3 linked regions of the Ovis aries genome follow. Each later gene encodes a partner of the first gene's protein in a complex. Links are inferred from orthologs where the notes say so. Each region holds a gene or a part of one and is shown in the gene's direction. Other genes may lie near its edges. The genes, in order: KLHL12, PLEKHA4 and PEF1.

What was found.
Region 2: the proteins of KLHL12 (region 1) and PLEKHA4 are in contact, whole or in part, in a crystal structure (PDB 8OIO), measured with the Homo sapiens proteins. The link is inferred for Ovis aries from reciprocal best matches to the Homo sapiens genes KLHL12 and PLEKHA4. Residues at the interface, in NP_067646.1 of Homo sapiens: Phe289, Arg320, Glu417, Tyr434, Ile439, Phe481, His486, Cys511, Tyr512, Tyr528, Leu533, Cys558; in NP_065955.2 of Homo sapiens: Pro177, Gly178, Gly179, Pro180.
Region 3: the proteins of KLHL12 (region 1) and PEF1 are in contact, whole or in part, in a crystal structure (PDB 8RBH), measured with the Homo sapiens proteins. The link is inferred for Ovis aries from reciprocal best matches to the Homo sapiens genes KLHL12 and PEF1. Residues at the interface, in NP_067646.1 of Homo sapiens: Phe289, Gln293, Arg320, Tyr321, Leu371, Glu417, Tyr434, Ile439, Phe481, His486, Cys511, Tyr512, Tyr528, Leu533, Cys558; in NP_036524.1 of Homo sapiens: Gly15, Gln16, Ala17, Pro18, Gly19, Ala20, Pro21, Pro22.

The regions. Positions count from the first base shown.
Region 1 is NC_056065.1:79,310,482-79,317,089, forward strand, and holds the end of KLHL12 (kelch-like protein 12), read left to right. Parts: intron 1-905; coding exon 906-1,012; intron 1,013-1,785; coding exon 1,786-1,981; intron 1,982-2,410; coding exon 2,411-2,569; intron 2,570-2,879; coding exon 2,880-2,978; intron 2,979-3,624; coding exon 3,625-3,811; intron 3,812-4,127; coding exon 4,128-4,254; 3' UTR 4,255-4,645; downstream 4,646-6,608. UniProt on the Homo sapiens protein: Substrate-specific adapter of a BCR (BTB-CUL3-RBX1) E3 ubiquitin ligase complex that acts as a negative regulator of Wnt signaling pathway and ER-Golgi transport.
Region 2 is NC_056067.1:55,187,357-55,193,384, reverse strand, and holds the end of PLEKHA4 (pleckstrin homology domain-containing family A member 4), read left to right. Parts: intron 1-601; coding exon 602-763; intron 764-2,651; coding exon 2,652-2,710; intron 2,711-3,109; coding exon 3,110-3,222; intron 3,223-3,553; coding exon 3,554-3,813; 3' UTR 3,814-3,985; downstream 3,986-6,028. Other genes in the region: HSD17B14 (17-beta-hydroxysteroid dehydrogenase 14), read left to right, coding at 4,465-4,552, 5,055-5,093, 5,283-5,365, 5,870-5,936. UniProt on the Homo sapiens protein: Binds specifically to phosphatidylinositol 3-phosphate (PtdIns3P), but not to other phosphoinositides.
Region 3 is NC_056055.1:235,822,968-235,829,987, forward strand, and holds the start of PEF1 (peflin), read left to right. Parts: upstream 1-3,301; 5' UTR 3,302-3,313; coding exon 3,314-3,337; intron 3,338-6,653; exon of another isoform or gene 6,654-6,775; intron 6,776-7,020. UniProt on the Homo sapiens protein: Calcium-binding protein that acts as an adapter that bridges unrelated proteins or stabilizes weak protein-protein complexes in response to calcium.

The DNA.
Region 1 (6,608 bases):
CGGTCGTGGCAGCCGTGACTTCACTGGGGGCTTGTCTGTATTTCCTGTCAGTTTAGAGGTACTCCATTTGGTCTTTCCAGTCCAGGTCAGCTAAATGCCCTCCTGACTGTCCTGAAATGCCCCAGCTAACTTCTCTACAGTAGAGCAGCTACACAGGGGATTTTCTCAAAAGAAATATCATGGGAATATTATCCAGAGAAGTCCCTAGGGAAAAGGGGAAGACACAAAAGCTATCAAAATGCCTCGTTTGGTAAGATAGTAGAGAAAAAGACTCCCTTTAAAAGTCTAGCCTTATGGTCGGTTACCTGGCAGTTTTGATGAATTAACAGGACACGTGGTCGTGGAGTTGGCTAATTTGGAAAAATAAAAGTCATGGAAAAGATTTTTAAATTTATTATTTGGTTCCTAAGCCACATCTCAAATTTTGGGAGCCAAGGTTAGGAGAAAATTCTTTGCCATCACAAAAAACTCCCGTTTTGAGTTTTACAGGGTGAGAAAGGCAGGGAGCTCCTCCAGCCTACCCTTAGAGCCTGTTGTGAACTCAGCTGGAATCGTAAAGATGGGCTGATGCGGTGTAGGGTGTGTTCAAGCTTCTCCCATGGACAGAGGAGCCTCACGGGCTACAGTCACAGGGTCACAAAGAATCCAACACAAGCGAGCACACACAGGGCGTGTTCAGGCGTGCCCTCCAGAATTTTAATGTTGTCTAGAAATTCACGTTTCAGAGATTCAGGCTCTCAGGGAGGAGCAGTTTGCTGCTGGGCAGCCTCGTGGAGGACCTCCTGTCTCGGGTGGCTCCTCCAGGCCACGCGGGACAAGGCGCCCGGGTGCTGTCTGCGCTGCTCCGCCCCCGAGGCAGTCAGCCAGCAGCCACGGGAAAGCGGCCCCTCCTCGCTTGTCCTCAGGGGCCAACGAGGTGCTTCTGGTGGTCGGGGGCTTCGGGAGCCAGCAGTCTCCCATCGACGCCGTGGAGAAGTTCGACCCCAAGACGCAGGAGTGGAGCTTTTTGCCAGTAAGTTGTGGTGGAACCAGGCCCGGGGAAAGAGCTTAAATGTCCGCAGTCCCTGACTCCGGGTGGTAACTAACCCAGCCCTCAGAGTGGAAAGGCCTGGTCACAGCAGCAGAGTTCCTGACAGTAGTCAGTTACAGTAGTTGGTTGTTGACTAACTCGGCTTCAGGAGGACTCACGGCCCTGTGTGCAGTTACACTCAGCTGGCCACCACCATTCCCACGCCTTCCGGCCTCCCGATCGGTTCACAGGGTGCCCGCTCCTGCCCTGTTAGCCTGAGCACGGTGCTCAGCTGTGCTGGACTGAGCTGGTGTCCGTGGGACCCAGGGTCTGTGTCTCCTTGGGGGTTTCTGCTTCAGTGCAGTAACTGTGAGAACCATGGGGATCTTTGGGTCATTTCTCATGGCCTTTCAGGTCATTGGGTCCTGGCCCTTAGAGAGCAGTGCACTAGTCTCTTCCTGCTTCACGGAAGGATGTTGGTCTTTAGCGCAGTGCTTATGGAATGGGAAGGAATCAGATACTGGATAAGGGAAGGATGGTAGATCCTCTGGAATCCTTAGAGACAGACGCACAGAAGACACTCATCAGTAAGAGCATCACTGAGCAAGAGGCGTTTGTCCAGTGGACAGGCAGCAGATAAACCTCTGCTCAGAGGGCTTCACGGCCACAGGCAAAGCAACAAGGTGCGGAGGGAAACCCAGGAAGGACCACAAAGGTGAGGCCTGAGACTTGTCTGGCTAAAGTGGCAAAGGCGCCTCTTCTCCCCTGAATCCCAGAGCATTACTCGGAAGAGACGCTATGTGGCCTCGGTGTCCCTTCACGACCGGATCTACGTGATTGGTGGCTATGACGGCCGCTCCCGCCTCAGCTCCGTGGAGTGTCTGGACTACACGGCAGACGAGGACGGGGTCTGGTATTCTGTGGCTCCGATGAACGTCCGGCGGGGCCTGGCTGGAGCCACCACCCTGGGAGGTAGGCTGCTGCACAGGGCGGCGCGTGCATCTCGGTGTGGCTGGATCGGGGTTCACACCTCCATGAAATGTGGAGGCAGCCGGTGGGGTCAGTCACACCTTTCTGGTTTCGGAAACACTCCAAGGCATCTCAGTGCTGACACTGGAGTTGGTAACTCAGGCTCCAGTGTGCTGAGGGGGCAGCTGGCGCTAGTGGTAGTTTTGCAGACTCGCATCTAGGAATGTTTCTGAAGATTCCATCTTACCCTGTTCTTCTCACTTGTCTTGACTGTGCTGTCCTCTTTAAGAAAGACTTGATTTATCCCTTAAAAAAAACCAAACAGTTGTTTCTGGCTCCAGGCATTTGGAAGAGTTGTGGGAGATTTGTAGACAAGGAGTCGTTACAAACCTCTCACTCTCTAACGGTCTGTGGCTCCTTCATTCTGAGCAGATATGATCTATGTCTCTGGGGGCTTCGATGGAAGCAGGCGCCACACCAGTATGGAGCGCTATGACCCGAACATCGACCAGTGGAGCATGCTGGGCGACATGCAGACGGCCCGGGAAGGTGCCGGCCTCGTGGTGGCCAGCGGGGTGATCTACTGTCTAGGTGTGTGGGGTCTGGGACGGGGTGGGGGCGGGATGACTAAGGGCAGCGGCCTCGGCGCAGGATCCCTTTCACTGGAATTGGTTCATAGACTTCCTCCCCCTAAAACCCTGGTCTGTCCCAGTATAGTTTCCACTCACTGGGATTCTCCTTTTCGTGAGAGCAGAAGACAGGTTGCTCTCAGGTTTCTCTCTGGAGCCCTTGAAGAGAGCTGGGACGAAGAGCCTCAGTCAGGGCACTTGAGGAAGGCAGGCCAGGAGCGGGAATCCGCACCGACCATTCTTTCTGGAATGGTTCCCGCTCTGTCTTTCAGGAGGATATGACGGCTTGAATATCTTAAACTCAGTTGAGAAGTATGACCCCCATACAGGACACTGGACTAATGTCACACCGATGGCCACCAAGCGCTCTGGTAAGACCGGGCAGGCCCCAGGGGCCGGAGGCGGAGCTGTCAGAGCTGCCTGGGCAGTGGGGCTGCAGGCCTGTCATCACTGGCAACCTGGGAAACATGGGTCAGGGCCGTTGTCCTCAGTGTCTGTGCTCCCTAAATACAGCGGCATTGGAGACAGCCCAGACTCTCCCTGGGTTAGGGTGAGAGCAGAGCCTCCTTGCCTTGTCTTTTTGTACCTGAGTCCCTCCCTCCATCCTGGCCTCCAGCTCAGCTCTGTGCAGTGGCGTGGGCTGCCTGAGGGAGCATGTGCAGGAGTCGGGCAGGGAGGGGTCTTTCTGAGCCCTCAGGCTGGTGTGGAGGAACAGAGAGCCCTGCCTCCCGGTAGCAGATGCTCCAGACCCATCACGACCCCTCTCTCTTTCCCTCTTTTTTCCACTCCCTTCTCTCATGACAAGGGTTGGGCTCCGAGTTAATGAAAGTGAGATGACGGCCAGGCGAAGAGGGCTGCAGGTGCGTGGCCTGTGCTGGACTAGATCCTCCAGGCTGTCTGGCCCTGGCCCATCCCTCGGCCACTCTGGGGCTCACCCAGCCGTCTGTCAGTGTTTTGTTTCTAGGGTTCAGATCCTCAGCCCAGCAGCCGTCATCTGTTGTGCCCTTTCCTCCCCAGGTGCAGGGGTAGCGCTGCTGAATGACCATATTTATGTGGTGGGGGGATTCGATGGTACAGCCCACCTTTCTTCTGTGGAAGCCTACAACATTCGCACCGACTCCTGGACAACGGTCACGAGCATGACCACCCCGCGGTGCTACGTCGGGGCCACGGTGCTTCGGGGGAGACTTTATGCAATTGCAGGGTGAGGGGTAAATCTGGGATCCAGGGCCGTGTGAGCTGATCCACGTGTGTGGTGGAGACAGGGTTTGGTTCCGCAGAGAGGGCTCCATGGCAATCTTAATGTGGGGCCCTGTGGGGAGGGGGGGCCTTGTGGGGAGAGGTGGGGCGGAGCCTATTGAGACAGGCTGTGGGCGGGGCCTTGTGGGGAGGGGGCGGGGCGGAGCCTATTGAGACAGGCCCTGGGCGAGGCCGGGGCGGGGCAGGGCTGGGGGCGGGGCCGGTGGGCGGGGCCGGTGGAGGTGCGCCTTTCTCTATCCCTGCTGGCCCTTCTCCCTCAGCTACGACGGGAACTCCCTGCTGAGCAGCATTGAGTGCTACGACCCCATCATTGACAGCTGGGAGGTCGTGACCTCCATGGGAACTCAGCGCTGCGACGCCGGCGTGTGTGTTCTCCGAGAGAAATGACTGGGCGAAGAGACAGTTTGCAGAGAACCAAGGGTCCTTTCCAGAATGTCTGTTCTCAGTGCGGGGAGGGGATGACAGGCTCAGTGCCGCGGCTCTCACTGAGCTTATTTGACACGCCCTGGCGTTGGGGGTGTCCCCGAGGGCGGAGGCCGCAGGCACTCGAGGGCGGAGGCCGCACCCTGCATGGGTGTGATCGGCCAGACCCTTCTCCTGGCCGCGGGGGCACTTGGTCCTCGCCTTTAACCTCGTGTGCGCTCCAGAGAATATACCTTGTGCCTCGTGTGCTGTGGACAATTAAGGTGAACATGAACTCCAGGGTGTGGGCAGGGCTGGAAGGGTACCAACTCTCTTGGTTTTCCAAGAATAAATCTCTTTCCTAGTCTACAGGTAACAGGGGCAACAGAGTTCTGTTTTGGAGGAAAACGAGGGAAGAGCCCTGTCAAAACCTCGGGGGCCTCGGGAGTGGGGAACTGGGTGTCCAGTGCAGGACGGGACCTGGATGCGGTGGGGTGTGAGAGAGCCTGCAACACGTGGAAGGCTGAGGGGGCGTGTTACCTGAGGGTCTTTGCTGGGCCCTAGACACAGAGCAGCAGTGCAGGAAACGTGTCCCAGACCGAAGTTCCTGTGACTTCACCATTGCCCACCCCCGCCCCCGCCCCGGCTGCCGCACCTGTATCCCAGGAAGGCTTTCCTCTGTTGAATCAAGGACTGCTTTCTCCACTGTTGCCGTCGGTACTGTTTATAGGGGGAGGGGAGGAGCGGGGGTGGCAGTCGCCTGGTGACTCCCCTGGTTCTTGTAAGAGCATACTTCTGCCAAGGAGTCGTTTTTACTGCTGTGTTTTGTACATGTTGTCCTTTCTTATTAGAACACCCCTTCCCTGTCTTTAGACTGGATCTCACTCATCCCAGGACGGAATAACGATGAGAACCGAAACCCGTTTGTTAGTTCGGCGCCTCCCGGCCTTCTGAACTCCCAAGGCGCCCCTGTGCTGCGCAGAGGCACTCCTGCTCGGAGAATCGGGAGTGTGGGGACCGCGCGGTCGCCTAAACAAGAAGGCACTTGCCCTTTGTTCTGGAATTCCTTTTTTTCCTCTTTCCCTGAGTTAATATTGACCTAAAGTTCGTTTTGTTTGTATTTTTTTAAGAAAATATTAAAAAACAAACAAAAAAAAAAAACAGTGGTCTCAAATGCCTGTAAGAGTTTGTGGCAAACCAGCACCATCTTCCAGACGTTTCGGGGGACAAGGCATAGACAGCTGCTGTAGGTCCTGTCTCTTCAACCCGTTCTCTTGTGTGTTTGCCACTAACTGCTCTGTTTCTGTTAGACAGCTGAGAGGTCTCCGGAGACTCATTAGCATGAGGCTATCCGAATGGCATATTCACGGCCTCCCCTCACACTCGGCCCTGACTCGGAAACCACAGGGAACAAAGCGGAGGCAATCTTGGGCTGGTTTTGTACCCGCTTGAATGTCAGGGCTTTAGTCGCCCCAGTCCTTTTACCGTTTCCCTCGGTTTTGTGCCACGTGACACAAATAGCTGCAGAACGCTTGCAAAACTGCAAAAATCCTGATATTTCCAGAGCAGAGGGAAGGGGGAGCCAAAGAGGTTCAGGAAAGAGGCCTGCCAGCCTTTCCCTAGCAGATGGATTGTGCCTGCTGATTAAACCAAGTGGTGACACTTGTGACTCATTCTCTCAGGGAGGAAGAGGGGAGGCAGAAGAGTGGGGATGAAGAGAGGATGGCCCCAGGCTGGCTTCACCGCTGACTTACTTCCCATTTCCCAAATAGTTCCGAGAAGAGTGTTGCCTCGGTAAAGCTTTTTCTGGCTCCCCGGATGGAATCACTCCTAATCGGTGCTTCCAGTGCACTTTGTTCTGCGGATTGTCTTTACCGTAAGTCCTTGAGTTTGCGTCTGTCTGCCTGTTTAGACTGTGTTTTCCAGTACAGAGTGCCGATCATCGTATGCTCACATCCTACAATTGTAGAATATTGTAGTATATTCTATTAATTGCTCAGCAAAGGTTGACTTAATGAAGGACAAAGAGGAGAAGAAAAACATGCCGACCGGGTGGTTGGGTAGACGAGACATTCCTCACAAGACTTGGCTCCCCTTCCTATTCCGCTTCCCTTGCCACCTCGGGAAGACCGCGCCTGCCACACTACAGCCAATAAGCTAGACGTCTTAAGACTAACCGGGGAGAATGAGAAACTGGAACGACCCAGAGCAGTGGCTGCAGGCCATGCCTGGATCCCAAGCCCCGGGGGCAGCCCTTCCGACCGTACCCCCATAGGGAAGCGCTTGAACACCGAGTCTTGCCCCGCAGTGAGTGGTCAGTGCGACCCGAGCAGAGAGCA
Region 2 (6,028 bases), on another chromosome or scaffold:
CAAACCAGCGTCCCAACTACTACTTCCAAGAGACTTGTTATGTCCAGAGAAGAGTGGGTGTTGATCAGGCTGGCACTACAGGTTCCAATAGGGCAGCTGGTGGGCTTGAGGCCAGACAGATGGGTAGCAACCAGTCACACAGGAACTGTAACACCTTTGTCCTAGAGCCTTGTGGGATATGGAAGGACTTGAGCATAACCAGCAGAGGGACAGCCTGGGCTCCAGGTGTAGAAGTAAGTCCTTGAGATCCAGGGCTGAACTTATTGGGAAGGGCAAGACACAGGAATTCTCCAGGCCAGAATACTGGAGTGGGTAGCCTTTCCCTTCTCCAGGAGATCTTCCCAACCCAGGGATCGAACCCAGGTCTCCCCGCATTGCAGGTGGATTCTTTACCAGCTGAGCCACAAGGGAAGCCCAAGAATACTGGCGTGGCTTGCCTATCCCTTCTCCAGGGGATCTTCCCGACCCAGGAATCGAACCAGGGTCTCCTGCATTGCAACTGAGCTTTGAGGGAAGCCCATGACAGAGGAGGCTGAGAGGTTCAGGGAAGAGAGAAAAGAGAGGCCTGGTTGGAATCTCTAGATGTTTCTCATCTCCCCAGGTCCCCCTGGCCCGGCCCCGGATGAGTGCTCGGGAGCAGTTGGAGAGAATCCGAAGAAATCAAGAATATGGACGGCCTCTCCCTCGCCCAGCCTCCCCCCGGCTCCTCACCCTGGGGAGGACGCTGTCCCCAACCAGACGCCAGCCTGATGCGGAACAAAAAGTGAGGGAAACAGGGGTGGGTCAGTGAGGCGGCAGTGGGTTCTCAGTTCCTGGTTGGAGCCTCAGTTTTCCTCTCTGTAAAATGGGGATTTTTTTCCCTTCCTCTATATCAGGTTTACTTGTCCCTGTTTTCAATTCAGCATCCTGTCTCCCTTATCAGTGGAGAACAGGATGGGCCAGAGGCAACATCTCCATCCTCACCAGCATTCTCACTCCTCTGGGAGGAGTGGGTTTTAGAGCTGGATTGGAAGCCAAGTTTTCCTGTTCAGTTACTATGCTATCAAAGGCAAAGAAAAAAAAAATGTATTTACTGCCATGGAGATCACACTGCCAATCTGAAGATCAGACTGTCTGGGCAGGATGGTTTTTTCACTTGTTTTTTCGTTTTGGGCTGTGCCACTGCGCAGCTTGTGGGATTTTAGGGCTTGGGTTCAGTCCATGTTTGAGGACTTGGCCGTGGGAGTGCGGAGCCCTACCTGCTGGACCACCAGGGAATTCCCCATGGATAGTTTCATCTTAAGACTCTTCTAGGAAGGAATTAGACAAGTGGGGTGATTTTGGGGTTGTGATTGTTTTTGTAAATGGGGGGCATCTCAAGTCTGCTGAATATCAAACATTGATCTCTATGTCTAGCTAGTTTTTCGGGGGCAACAAGTTCATTAATCATTTATGACAAAAGGAATGTGAATTTGGAGGGTCTGTTTCTGGCCTCGTCACAGGGGGCTCATCTGTGAATCTTGTCGATGAAAATTCTATTAAAATCAAGTTAACAAGAAAAAAGGGGACTTTTATTTGAGCCAAACAGAATTAGAACTTGGGAGAGAGACTCTCAGAAAGTTCTGAGAACTGTTTCACCATCTGTTAGAAGTCAAGAGGCACACTCGTGTCTGTTTTCCAGACAAAAGATCGAACATCAAAATGACATACTGACAGGACTTTCCTGGCAGACCAGTGGTTAAGAATTTGCCTTGCAATGCAGGGGACGAGGGTTTGATACCTGGTCTGGGAACTAAGATCCCACATGTCTCTGGGCAACTAAGCCTGTGCGCCACAACTACACAATCTGCTGTTGTTTAGTTGCTGAGTCATGTACGACTCTTTTGCAACCCCATGGACTATAGCCTTCCAGGCAATCTTCCTGACCCAGGGATGGAACCCACATCTCTGTTGAGCAAGTAAGTCTCCTGCGTTGGCAGGCAGATTCTTACCACTAAGCTGTCAGGGAAGCCCCATGCACTGTGACAAAAGATCCCACGTGATGCAACTAAGATCCCAAGTGCCACAACTAAGACTTGATGCAGCCAGACAATTTAAAACAAACAAAGAAGCAAATAACATAGTGATATTTTACCTAAGCTTCACCAAGGATACATAGTCTAGGGAAGCACATGCGAAGCCAGCAGCAAGTTACTGTGACCCCCTGCAGAACTGTGAAAGAAGCTGTTCTTTTAAGAAGTTACACTGGTAGTGTCAGAAGAAAGGGAAAAAAGAAATGATCTTCAGAACAGAGCAAGCACTGCCAACTCTGAGGAGCTCTGGCTAATGTGTAATCCTGGTGTACACTGCACATTAGGGATGGAGGAGCCCCAAACAAGCGCGCAGAGAGACTTTGATCTTTAATTTTCCTGTCCTGTCTTAAAATATCAATTTCACATCATTCAGGCTTATCTAAGTCATATGAAGAAGCTGTTTACCAGAATGCAAAAAGGCGTGGGGAAGTGGTTGGGAGGGTGGTAATTTTCCAAACTCTTCCCTCTTTCCCAGGAGTTCAGGTAAAGTTAAGAATTAGTGTCTTTGGGGCAATTTTATCCTCTGAGCCTCTTCACCCTCAAAATGAGAACATGGGAACTTCCAGGGTGAGGAATTCTAATGCCCCCATTCCTTTGCAGCCTGTCCTGGGACACTCAGGAACCCAGAAATGGCTCCGAAGTTCGGGGTCCTGGAGCAGGTAAGGAATTGGAGATCGAGGCAACAACGAAGGGAAATAAAAAAGAGAAGGGGAATAGTGTTACTGTTAATGTCTTTTGAGTACTAAAGTACAGATCGCAGAATCTTTTAGAGTCGCTTGAGTTCTTGGGGAATCAGAAAACTCTAGTTCGCGGGGAGAACTGCAGTTCCTTGTTCTATATCAAACTCCGCCCCGCTGTCAGGAAATCGGAGAAATTTTCGGGCAACTGAACTACAAATCCCACAATGCACGCGGGCTTCTAAAAAAAGAGGGTCGCTCCACGTTTAAAATCCTTTAGAGACACGTGCTAGGGACTACAACTCCCAGAAGGACACGCGCGGCACTGTGGCCTCTACTGTACTGGCTAATCGAAGTTTCGCCCAAACTCTCTTTTTCTAGTCCAAGAAACACCACCCCTTATTTGCTGACATCCGAAGGGCACCGGGAGCGAGTCCTCAGCCTCTCTCAAGCCCTGGCCGCTGAGGCATCGCAGTGGCGCGGAATGATGACAGGTGAGAATGAGCTGGGGACTTAGGACTCCTAGGTTTTAGGGATGAGGAGGGGGGGGGCGGGTCGGAGGTCTGGAATCTCAGGTCGTGATGGGGAGGGGTCTGAGGGCCCCTGGGAATCCTTTGTCTTGATGAGGGAAGACCTGGACAGGGCTTGGGAGTGCTAGATTCCAGGCAGGAGGGGGCTAAGGTGCAAAAGTGCTGAGTTTGGGAGAGCAGGGGGCAGGGAGGCCGGACTCCTAGGTTTGAGAGGAAAGGCCTGGGGGCGGAGGGCGGTGTCTGGACTTCTGGATTCCTGAGTTTGCCATTCTCATTTCCCATCCGTCCTCTCCAGGTGGAAATTTGGACTCTCGAGGGGACCCTCTCCCCCCTGCGCCGCCACCTCCGTCAGATCCCATGCCCCAGGCGTCCTCACCCCGAAGATCTCCAACAGCCAATTCCTGCTCCACGGGTTTCTCCCCCAGAGGTAGTGGGCGCGGCGCAGGCCCCGCCTCCTGGGAAGAGACCTGGGATTCCGGGCCGGCCCCTCCCGCCCTGACCCCTGACGAGGGGGCGTGGCCTCTGAGGGTCACCCTGCTGCAGTCCAGCTTCTGACGCGCCCAGACGTGGCAGCCAATCAGAGCGTGAGGGCGTGGCCTGGCGGGACCACCTGAAGATCTGCAGCCTCTGTTCTCCCGTGACCTAGAAGTGGTTTCTGTGGCCAAAGTTTGCTTTTCCCGACACTTGTCCAAATTTAGATTAAAACTTTGAACTTTTTAGTCAATAACTTTTTGTCTGTTTGAGGTTGTGACTCTGGTGTCTCTGAGTGGGGGTAGAGCTGGGGTCGTGGATTTCTGGGTCGCAAAGGAGGAGGGGACCGGGACCTTGGACTTGTAGGTCTGAGGGAGGAGGAAATCTCAGGGTCCGGAGTACTGGGCCTGAGGGAAGAGGGGGATGGGGACCTGGATTCTTGCGTCTGAAGGAAGACGAGGGACCTGGACATTTAGGTCCGAGGGCAGAGGGCGGCCGGATGCCAGGAATCCTGAACTTGAGGGAAGAAGGTCTGGGCATCCAGACTCTTGGATCTGAGGGAGGGACCAGGCTTCCAGGCTTCTGGCTTTCCTGGCAACGCCCCCCACCCCCACCCTCAGGGCCGGGCTTCCAGGATCCGGCCCCTGTTTACGATTTGACCCCACTACCTCACCCGATTTTGGAGGTGGACAGAAGCCCGGAGTGAGTGAAAGAGGAGAGGCGGTGTCCGGCAGAATGGCAATGGGAACGCGCTATGCTGGGAAGGTGGTCATCGTGACCGGCGGCGGTCGCGGCATAGGAGCCGCGATCGTTCGAGCTTTCGGTGAGTGGGGTCTGGCTGGGTCTAAATGTTGGGAATCTGGGAGAGGACGGGCCTCCGAGGGCTAACTAATGGGTGTGAGAAAAAGTAGGTCCTATACTGGAGTCTAGATTCTTATCTTACAAGATCCTATTTGCAAAGTGAACGAAAAGGTAGGCGGTAGTTGCCTAGGGCCTGAGATTTTGGCAGGTTTCCAAACACCGTTTCTGTGGTCTCAGCTGTCTCTGCAAAACAGGCAGTTTGGGGGACGATGTCTCTTGCAGATTTCGGGTTTACTCTGGAACCCAGGAAGGCAGACTCAGGAGCCCCAACAGGCACCTAGAATAACCCAGAAGAGTATCTGTCAAAACTTCTGCCCTCTGTCCTAGGGAGTCATCATGAGACTTTGGGGTCACGAGGGGAGCAGAGTGGGAGACGGGCCCAACCCGCTGTAAGTGGCCCCTAGAGGGCAGCAGAGGCCTTCGCCAAGGTCGGCTGGGGGTAACCTCTTCTTTCTTATTCTCAGTGGAAAGCGGTGCCCAGGTGGTTATCTGTGACAAAGATGGTGAGTGAGGGTCCCTCAGTCCTCATCCCCAACCCTCCAGGGGGATTCCAGGCCCCCAGACCCCTCCTCTGATAGACCCAGGAGTCCAAACCCCTGGCTTCCTCCTCCCTCAGACCCAGGATTCGGCCTCCCAGCCCCCTCCTCCCTCAGACTCTGAAGTCCAGACCCCCAGCCCTTCTCTTCCCGCAGAGGCCAGGGGCAGGGCGGTGGAGCGAGAGCTGCCTGGCACTGTCTTTCTGCGCTGTGACGTGACTCGGGAGGAAGATGTGAGGGTGAGTGTATTTTCTGTCTCTACTACCCGCCATGTCCAGTTGGTTCTCTCTCCCCACCGACCCCCTCCCCTGGCCGCCTCGAAGGCTTTTGCACTGGTGTTCCCTCTGCCTTTCCCGGTTCAGCTCAGTATCTCTTCAAGGCTCTCCCTAACTGTACTGACCAGGTCTTGTGTCTCCTGGGAGGATTTGCTTTTACCTCCCGCTCTTTCAAGGCTCTGTCACAGCTGTCACGGGGATTGGGACAAATACATTCCTCACAGGGGGTCTCATTCTTGCAGGATTCTTTTCTCTTTCCTCACTTTCCATTCCTTCCGTCTAGTCAGTATCTCTGACATCTGTCTCCAGTCCCGGGTCTCTAGGGTAGTGACCACAGTGTGAATGTCACCAGCCCGCTGGGCTCCAGCCCCTCAGCTGTGACTCCTGTCCCCACCTCACCTTTGGGACCCCTGGCTCTATAAGACCTGATGCCAGCACCACTCACTCAGAAGACCTCTCTCTCCCCAGACCCTCGTTTCTGAGACCATCCGCCGATTCGGCCACCTGGATTGCATAGTCAATAATGCTGGCTACCGTGAGTCATGAGGCCTGAGGGCCGTTCCCCACTGGTGTCAACCCACCTCCTGACTTCTCACCCCAAGCCTGGCTCTACCCCTGCTGTGTGCT
Region 3 (7,020 bases), on another chromosome or scaffold:
CAGAGATGAAGGGGAGGAATGAGTTTGGGGAAAATTATCAAAGAGAACTCTGAAGCAGGAAGGCTGAATACAGCACAGTGACAGCACCAAGGGCAAAGGGAGGCAGGCAAGCGGGTAACTCTGGAGCTGGTGGGGATGTGGGTTACGTGAAGGATGGCATTGGAACTGAGTTGTTGTTTTTTAAAAAAACTTACCTATTTAATTAACTGTGTCAGGTCTTAGTTGTGGCATGCAGGCTCAGTAGTTGCTGCACGCTGGCTTAGTTACCCCACGGGGTGTGGGGGACCTTAGTTTCTCGACCAGGGATAGAACCTGCGTCTCCTGCATCGGAAGGTAGATTCTTAACCACTGGACCACCAGGGAAGTCTCTGGAACTGAGCTTTGAAGGACTGGACTTGGGAGGGCTGCTGGTTGGGTGAAAGGACTGGTCTGAACACAAGTCTTGTCTGAACACAAGTCTGGGCATGAATAGGTGCCATAAACTCATTATTTCAGATCTCTTTATATACTCGTTTCTGACAGCAGAGGAAACTGAGACTCAGAAATTAAATGACCTGCCTGAGGTCATAGAGTTAGAAAGTGGTAGAATCAAGATTCCCCATTCCAAAGAAAGGGGGCTGAATGGTGGAACTGAACATACAACAGCAGACAAACAGGGGCTGTAAGACATAAGATGTAAAGGTGAGGCTGGGTCAGATTGTGAAGGGTCTAGAGCGCTGCAATGAAGAGGTTGGACCTTATTTTGTACATGTAGATGAAGAAAGCCATTGTACTTTCTCCAGGGGGCTAGGAGCATGATCAGCACTGTGATTTTGGGAAGTGCTGGCTGTCGACTGAAAAAAAAAGGCAAAACATGAGCGCTGTGAGTTGTTTTATTTGGGGCAAAATGAGGACAATAGTCTGGGAAAAAGCATTTCAGATATTTCTGAGAAACTGCTCGGAAGTGGTAGGAGGCAGGTCAGTATATATGTGATTTTGGTGAAAGGGGAATACATGTAATCAAGTCCCTATTTTTTGCAGAACATGTCTGCCAGTGATGAGAGGCAGATGTCACCATGGAGGATTTTAGTTCTTTTATAGGTACGAGGCAATGCAAGAATGGGGCTCTTAACACTGTCTCCTGAAAATACCTAACTGAAGACCTATTCTGCCAGTTTTCCCCAGAGCACAGAATGCCTCATTCCGAATCTCCACATTTAAATCCTTTCAGGCGGTGTTGAAGGTCAGCAGCAACAGTGGCTCATAGTTTGATCCTTTGTAGAGATAGATGGCAAATGCCAAGTTGCAGGTGACAATGGCTAGATGGCCAAAAGTGACACCACCTCGTAACACTATTAATTATTTTTAAAAATACAGGTTCTGGAGATACAATGACAAGCAAAATCAGACACAAGCTGTGCCATACAGAACTAACAAATTAATCAAATAAGCATGCAAACAAGTGGAGAGTCTAAACCACAAAGAAGCAAATATATGACTGTGAGGTCTTTGTCAACTAAAAAAATGTTTAGAGTCGCGAGTCAAGTTTTATTTGGGGGCAAAATGAGGACTGCAGCCTAGGAGAGAGCACCTCAGATAGCTCTGAAAGACTGCTCCCAAGAGGCAGTGGGGAGAGGTCAATACATAAGATTGTGGTAAAGGGGGAGTTCAATGCACTCATGAGCTTACTTCACAAAAGATTTTCTGCTAATCAAGAGGAACTGATGTCACCATCGAGGGATTTAGTGCCTTTCTAGATATGAGGAGATGCAAGGATTGGGATCATAAAATCAGTTCCTGAAAATATCTAACTGTCTAAAGACCTGTTTCATCAGTTTCCCTGGAGCACAGAGTGCCTCTCTCTCCACTCTGAATTCCCTTTGGGGAGTGTTGAAGGTCAGCAGCTGCTGCAGCACAGGCAGACAGCAAGGGCCCTTGTTGGTGCATTTCAGTCGCTGGCAAAAGCTCTTGGCAAGTGCCAACTTGTAGTTGACATCTCTTAATAACCAGGATCTTACTTACATTGGGGATCAGTCCTCAACCCTTCCCTGATGAGACCTGGGGTATCCATTGACCCCAGTTCTAGGCTACACTCTGCCCCTAAGCCATAGTGAACTAGGGCAGGTCATTGGACCTATTTCTCCATTTTTGAAACAAGTCAGCCTTATGTAACTCAATGAAACTACGAGCCATACCATGCAGGGCCATCCAAAGCAGACGGGTCACAGTGGAGCATTCTGACAAAACATGGTCGACTGGAGAAGGGAATGGCAATCACTTCAGTATTTCTGCCTCAAGAACCCCATGAACAGTATGAAAAAGCAAAAAGATAGGATACCGAAAGATAAGCCCCCAGGCAGATAGATGTCCAGTATCCTACTGGGGAAGAGAGGAGAAATAACTCCAGAAGAAATTAAAGTGTTGCTCAGTCCTATTGGAGTCTTTGCAACCCTAAGGACTGTAGCCCACCAGGCTCCTCTGTCCAAGGGAATATTGGAATGGGTACACATTTTCTTACCCAGGGGTCGAACCCGTGTCTCCTGCATTGCAGGCAGATTCTTAACCCTTTAAGCCATCAGGAGAGCCTGAACGAATGAAAAGGCTGGGCCAAAGTAGAAACAAGGCTCAGCTGTGGATGTGTTTGGTGGTGAAAGTAAAGCCCGAAGAGACCTCAGACGATCCAATTTCCCTCCCATTCTGACGGCTTGGAATTTTCCTGTCCAAATACCATAGATCCCACTCCAAAGTTACTGACATATGGTGTCCTGACATTAGAACGAAGTACTTCTAGCCCTAGCCTCTGTCCTTCCCAGGATGCCTCTGTGCCCCGTTGTCAGGGTAACCGCCTTGGCCTTCCCCTGGTGGAAACTTGGACTGAGGACAGCAACTACGCCACTTTCATGCGTCCTTTTTGCCAGGTTAAAACATGGCCACCGCTGCAACACCCTACCCAAGTTTCTCTCTAAATACCCAGGCCGACCAGCCCCGGGACCTACTCTAGAGCAAGAAAGGGAGGAAGAGCTGCGCCAGGATAACAATCAAGTTTTCCGGGATCGGTCTCCTGACCCTTAGCTCCGCTGGCCTCTCTCTGCTGCTGCTGCTGCTGCTAAGTCGCCTCAGTCGTGTCCGACTCTATGCGACCCCATAGACGGGAGCCCACCTCTCTAGGAGGCACCAAACCCCCGCCCTAGAGCGTCAGTTCCGTCAACCCATGCGTCCAGGATGGACAGTCTCATACATCCAATTAGAATAGGGCCCGCCCCCAGGCCCAGAAGGAGGCAGGTTTGACGCCTGGAAGCTCCGCCCCTCGCGGACGTGTGACGTCAGAGTCGCCATGGCCAGCTATCCTTACGGGCAGGTGAGTGTGAGGGGCGGGCGAATTCGAGTAGGGCCCTCGCTAAGTCCTGCCCGGACCCCCCTGGTTCGCTTTCTCCCCGCCTCCTCCGCGCCTTTTCCCACGCTGAGGTTGTCTTCCGCGAGGTTGCGCAGGAGAGAAGGGAAAAGAGATGGTCGGTCGCGCCTGGCTCACGTCACGTAGGCATGCACGTCTGGGAGGTCGTGTCGCGCCCCCTTTGACGTTGCGCATGGGAAGATTTGGGGCTCTTGGACCCCAGAGTCAGACTGCGCTTGGCCTGGGCCCTACAACTCTCCCAGGACTCCACCGGGGCCCGTAAGCGGGGTCAGCAACGCCAGCAGAACGTTTAGAGCACTGGTTCTGTCGGTATCTTTTGGGGAGTCGATAAAAATACACCTCTGACGTACTGCATCTGAATAATCAGGAGAATCTGTGGTTTTAGCAGACTGCACAAGTGAGCTTGTCTGGCCACTGATTTAGTCCAGTACCTTTGTTTCACTCATAGAAAAAGTAAAACCCAAGAAGACATGGAATTTATTTGAAGTCGTTAGGCAGCAGAATCCGGAGCTGTCAGCAAATGCCTCTTCCCCAGCGCACCTTGATCCAGCCAAGAATGCCACAGCAAGGTGATTGTGTGGCCAGAATACGTTGTTGGATGACAGAATGGTTGAGTGATCAAGTGCAGTTTGGTGTCAGAGGAAGGTTCACATCTTGGCTCCATCACTTAGTTTAGAGCCCTTAAACAGGGTACTTTTGCCTTTCTGAGTTGAAGTTTCCTTCTCGGTAAAATAGGGCCATATAATAGGGTCTATTTCATAGAGCTGTTATGAAGAATAATGAAGTGATGCTCTTAAAACCTGTGGTACAAATAAGAGTGTAACGGATGTTACCTTTTAGTATTTTGATTTTTCCTAGATTCCTAGAAGGTCAGTGCTGGAAGAGCCCTCAAAAGAGTTCCTTCGTTTTATTAATTTACTTTAAAATGTCGTTTATTTGGCTGCCTCAGGTCTTAGTTCCAGCATGTGGGATCAAGTTCCCCAACCAAGGATGGAACCTGGGCCCGCTGCGTTGGGAGTGCGGAGTCCTAACTGGTGGACCACCTGAGAAGTGCCAGGTTCCTTCATTTTAAAAGGAGGAACCTGAAGCCCAGAGAGGGCTCCTGAGTTGCCCAAGATCACACTAATTTAGGAGATAAAACCCACGCAGGAAAAATTGGCAAACAGGGTCACATGGGCTATTACTAAGCGCTGTGTGTAATCACATACCAAAAGATGTGGCAAGAGCCCTCTTCGGCAGTGCAGCCCTGTACACAGTATTTGGACATCCATATTCTCTGTCGTGAAGGCACTATAAGAAGGCTTGCAGGAATAATTGATTCAACTTATAACTCTGGAAAGAGCCCAAAGAGGTTAAGTGGCTTGCCCATGGTTGCACATAGCAAGTGAGGGAGCATCTATGCTAGAACTTAGAACTTTTGTTGCATACTTGGCAGAGGTAGGAAAGAGAGGCCCGCTGGGGCTGAGGTTAGGAGGAAGTATAACCAAGCTCGGTTCCATTTGCTGAGGCTTGTGAGGTGTTAATAAGTATTGCTAATAAGGAAGTATGGGTAAATAAGTTTGTTAAATATAGTACGTTTTTCATCACAAAGCATCTCAGAATTCTTAATTTGTTAATAAACATTGTATATTTGCTAGAGAGGGATGGAATATGCAGTGTTTCTTAAACTTACTTAACCATGGAAAACTCCTCCTCCCCTGTTTTGAGTCTGGTCGTTTTTTTGGTGACACCAATATTATTCTTGAGGAATATAGTTTGGGAAAACATTGCCATGATGCATTGTTTCTCGGTGGGTGGTCTGCCTCAGAATCCCCTAGGAGCTTGTTAAAAAAGCACGGATTAGATTTCCACCTCAGACCTGTTCTGTACCCAGAAAAGGCCCAAGCGTCTGCATTTTAATAAGCTTTTGGAGATCATTGGTATGCATCCTAGAAGCAGTGACAGAAATTAGGAGCCTGAACTTCCAGGTTAGACCGAATTGGGCTAGAATCCTAATTCTGCTATTTAATATTTATACCCCTTTGGACAAATCATCTAAGGACTCTGAGTCTCAGTTTCCTTACTTGTAAAGAGGGAGGAATAATACTTCATAGGGCTGAAAAGAGGATGAAATGTGGTAAAGCCTGTAGGCAACCTGGTGCATTGCTAGTGTGTGCTGGCGGGTGGTGGCGTCGCTCTTGCTTCTGTGATCGCTGTCGTCATGCCGTGCTGCCTGGCCTTAGGCTCAGTGAGACAGTGAGAAGGAGCACAGAGAGAAATGTGCCTCAAGGAGAAAAAGAAATGCTCTTCCCTCACCATACCTTTGTTCCTCCTATCCAACTCCTGGTCCACTGTGTTGCAAGAAAGGAAGTGGGTTGTTTGAAAGCATCCAAAAAATTAGTACTGCCTGTCCTCCACTCAGTATGTAGCCCTGGAGGATTCCAGCCTCCTGTTAGGAATCAGAATTCCTGTAACTTTCCACTGCCTCCTGCCTGGGGGGTCCTCAAGCATGGACTGGATAAAACTCAAGTACCCTTTGGTCGTGTCAAGGGAGCCAACCTAATGGATTTCAGCACATAAGAGCTTGGTCTCTGAGACCAGAGAAATTTGGCTTCAAACCCCTCCACTGCCATTTCCTTGCAGATATTTCCCACCAGAGTCTGAGGCTTGGTATCCCCCTTTTTATAAATGGGATCATAGGCATACCTACCTCAAGAGTTACTGTAAAAATTAAATGAGATAATCCACGTTAAGTGAGTGATACGGTGTTTTGGCATCTAGTAAATACTCCAGGTGGAACAGTGATACAGACACATGAATTGTAGAATCAGCGTGATGAGTAGTAAATGTGAGTAAGAATCAGGCCTGCCCAGGAGAGATCCCTAACTCAGTCTTGAGGGAAGGAAGGCTTTTTAAAGGAGATGACATTTAAGCCAAAAGCTGAATATCTGGTAGGAGTTGGCTGCATGAAGAAAGTATTCCGGCGGAGAGAATAGTGTTCGCAAAGGCCAGGAAACAAGAGCCCAGTATTGTCGAAGAATTTAAGGAGATCAGTCTAGTTGTAGTGAAGAGGAGGGGGAAATGGTAAGAAATGAGACCAGAAAGGTAAGCAAGGACTAGATCTTAAAGGGCCTTATGTTCCGTTTTGAGGAGGGTGGACTTGTGAGAGATCTCCTAAAGAGTTTTATCCCATTTGTGTTTTGAAGCTGTTCCCGGGGGTCACTGTCAGGATGGGTTGAAGCAGGGAGACCAGTTTCAAAGCTGTTGAAGCAATCTAGGTGATTTGCAGCCAGTTGAGCTGACTGTGCTCTTTCCACTGTGGGGGCCCCGTGTGCCGTGGCCACAAACAGCAACCTCCTCTGAGGTATATACAGCCTGTTGCCCTAAGGGACCTTGGAGGCAGCCTTTTCCAGTGGACATTCATGACTGGCATGCTGTCCCTAGTCTAGACTCCAAGCAGGTTATGTGCAGTGCCTTTAGAAAGCGCCAGGGGAGAGTGGCCAAGTCATACTGTCCATCCACACCAAGCCGTAGAACAAGGAGCTTGTGATTGAAGCCCTCCGCAGGGCCAAGTTCAAGTTCTCTGGCCACCAGAAGGTCCCCATCTCCAAGAAGTGGGCATTTACTGAAGTTTAATGAGGATGAACTTG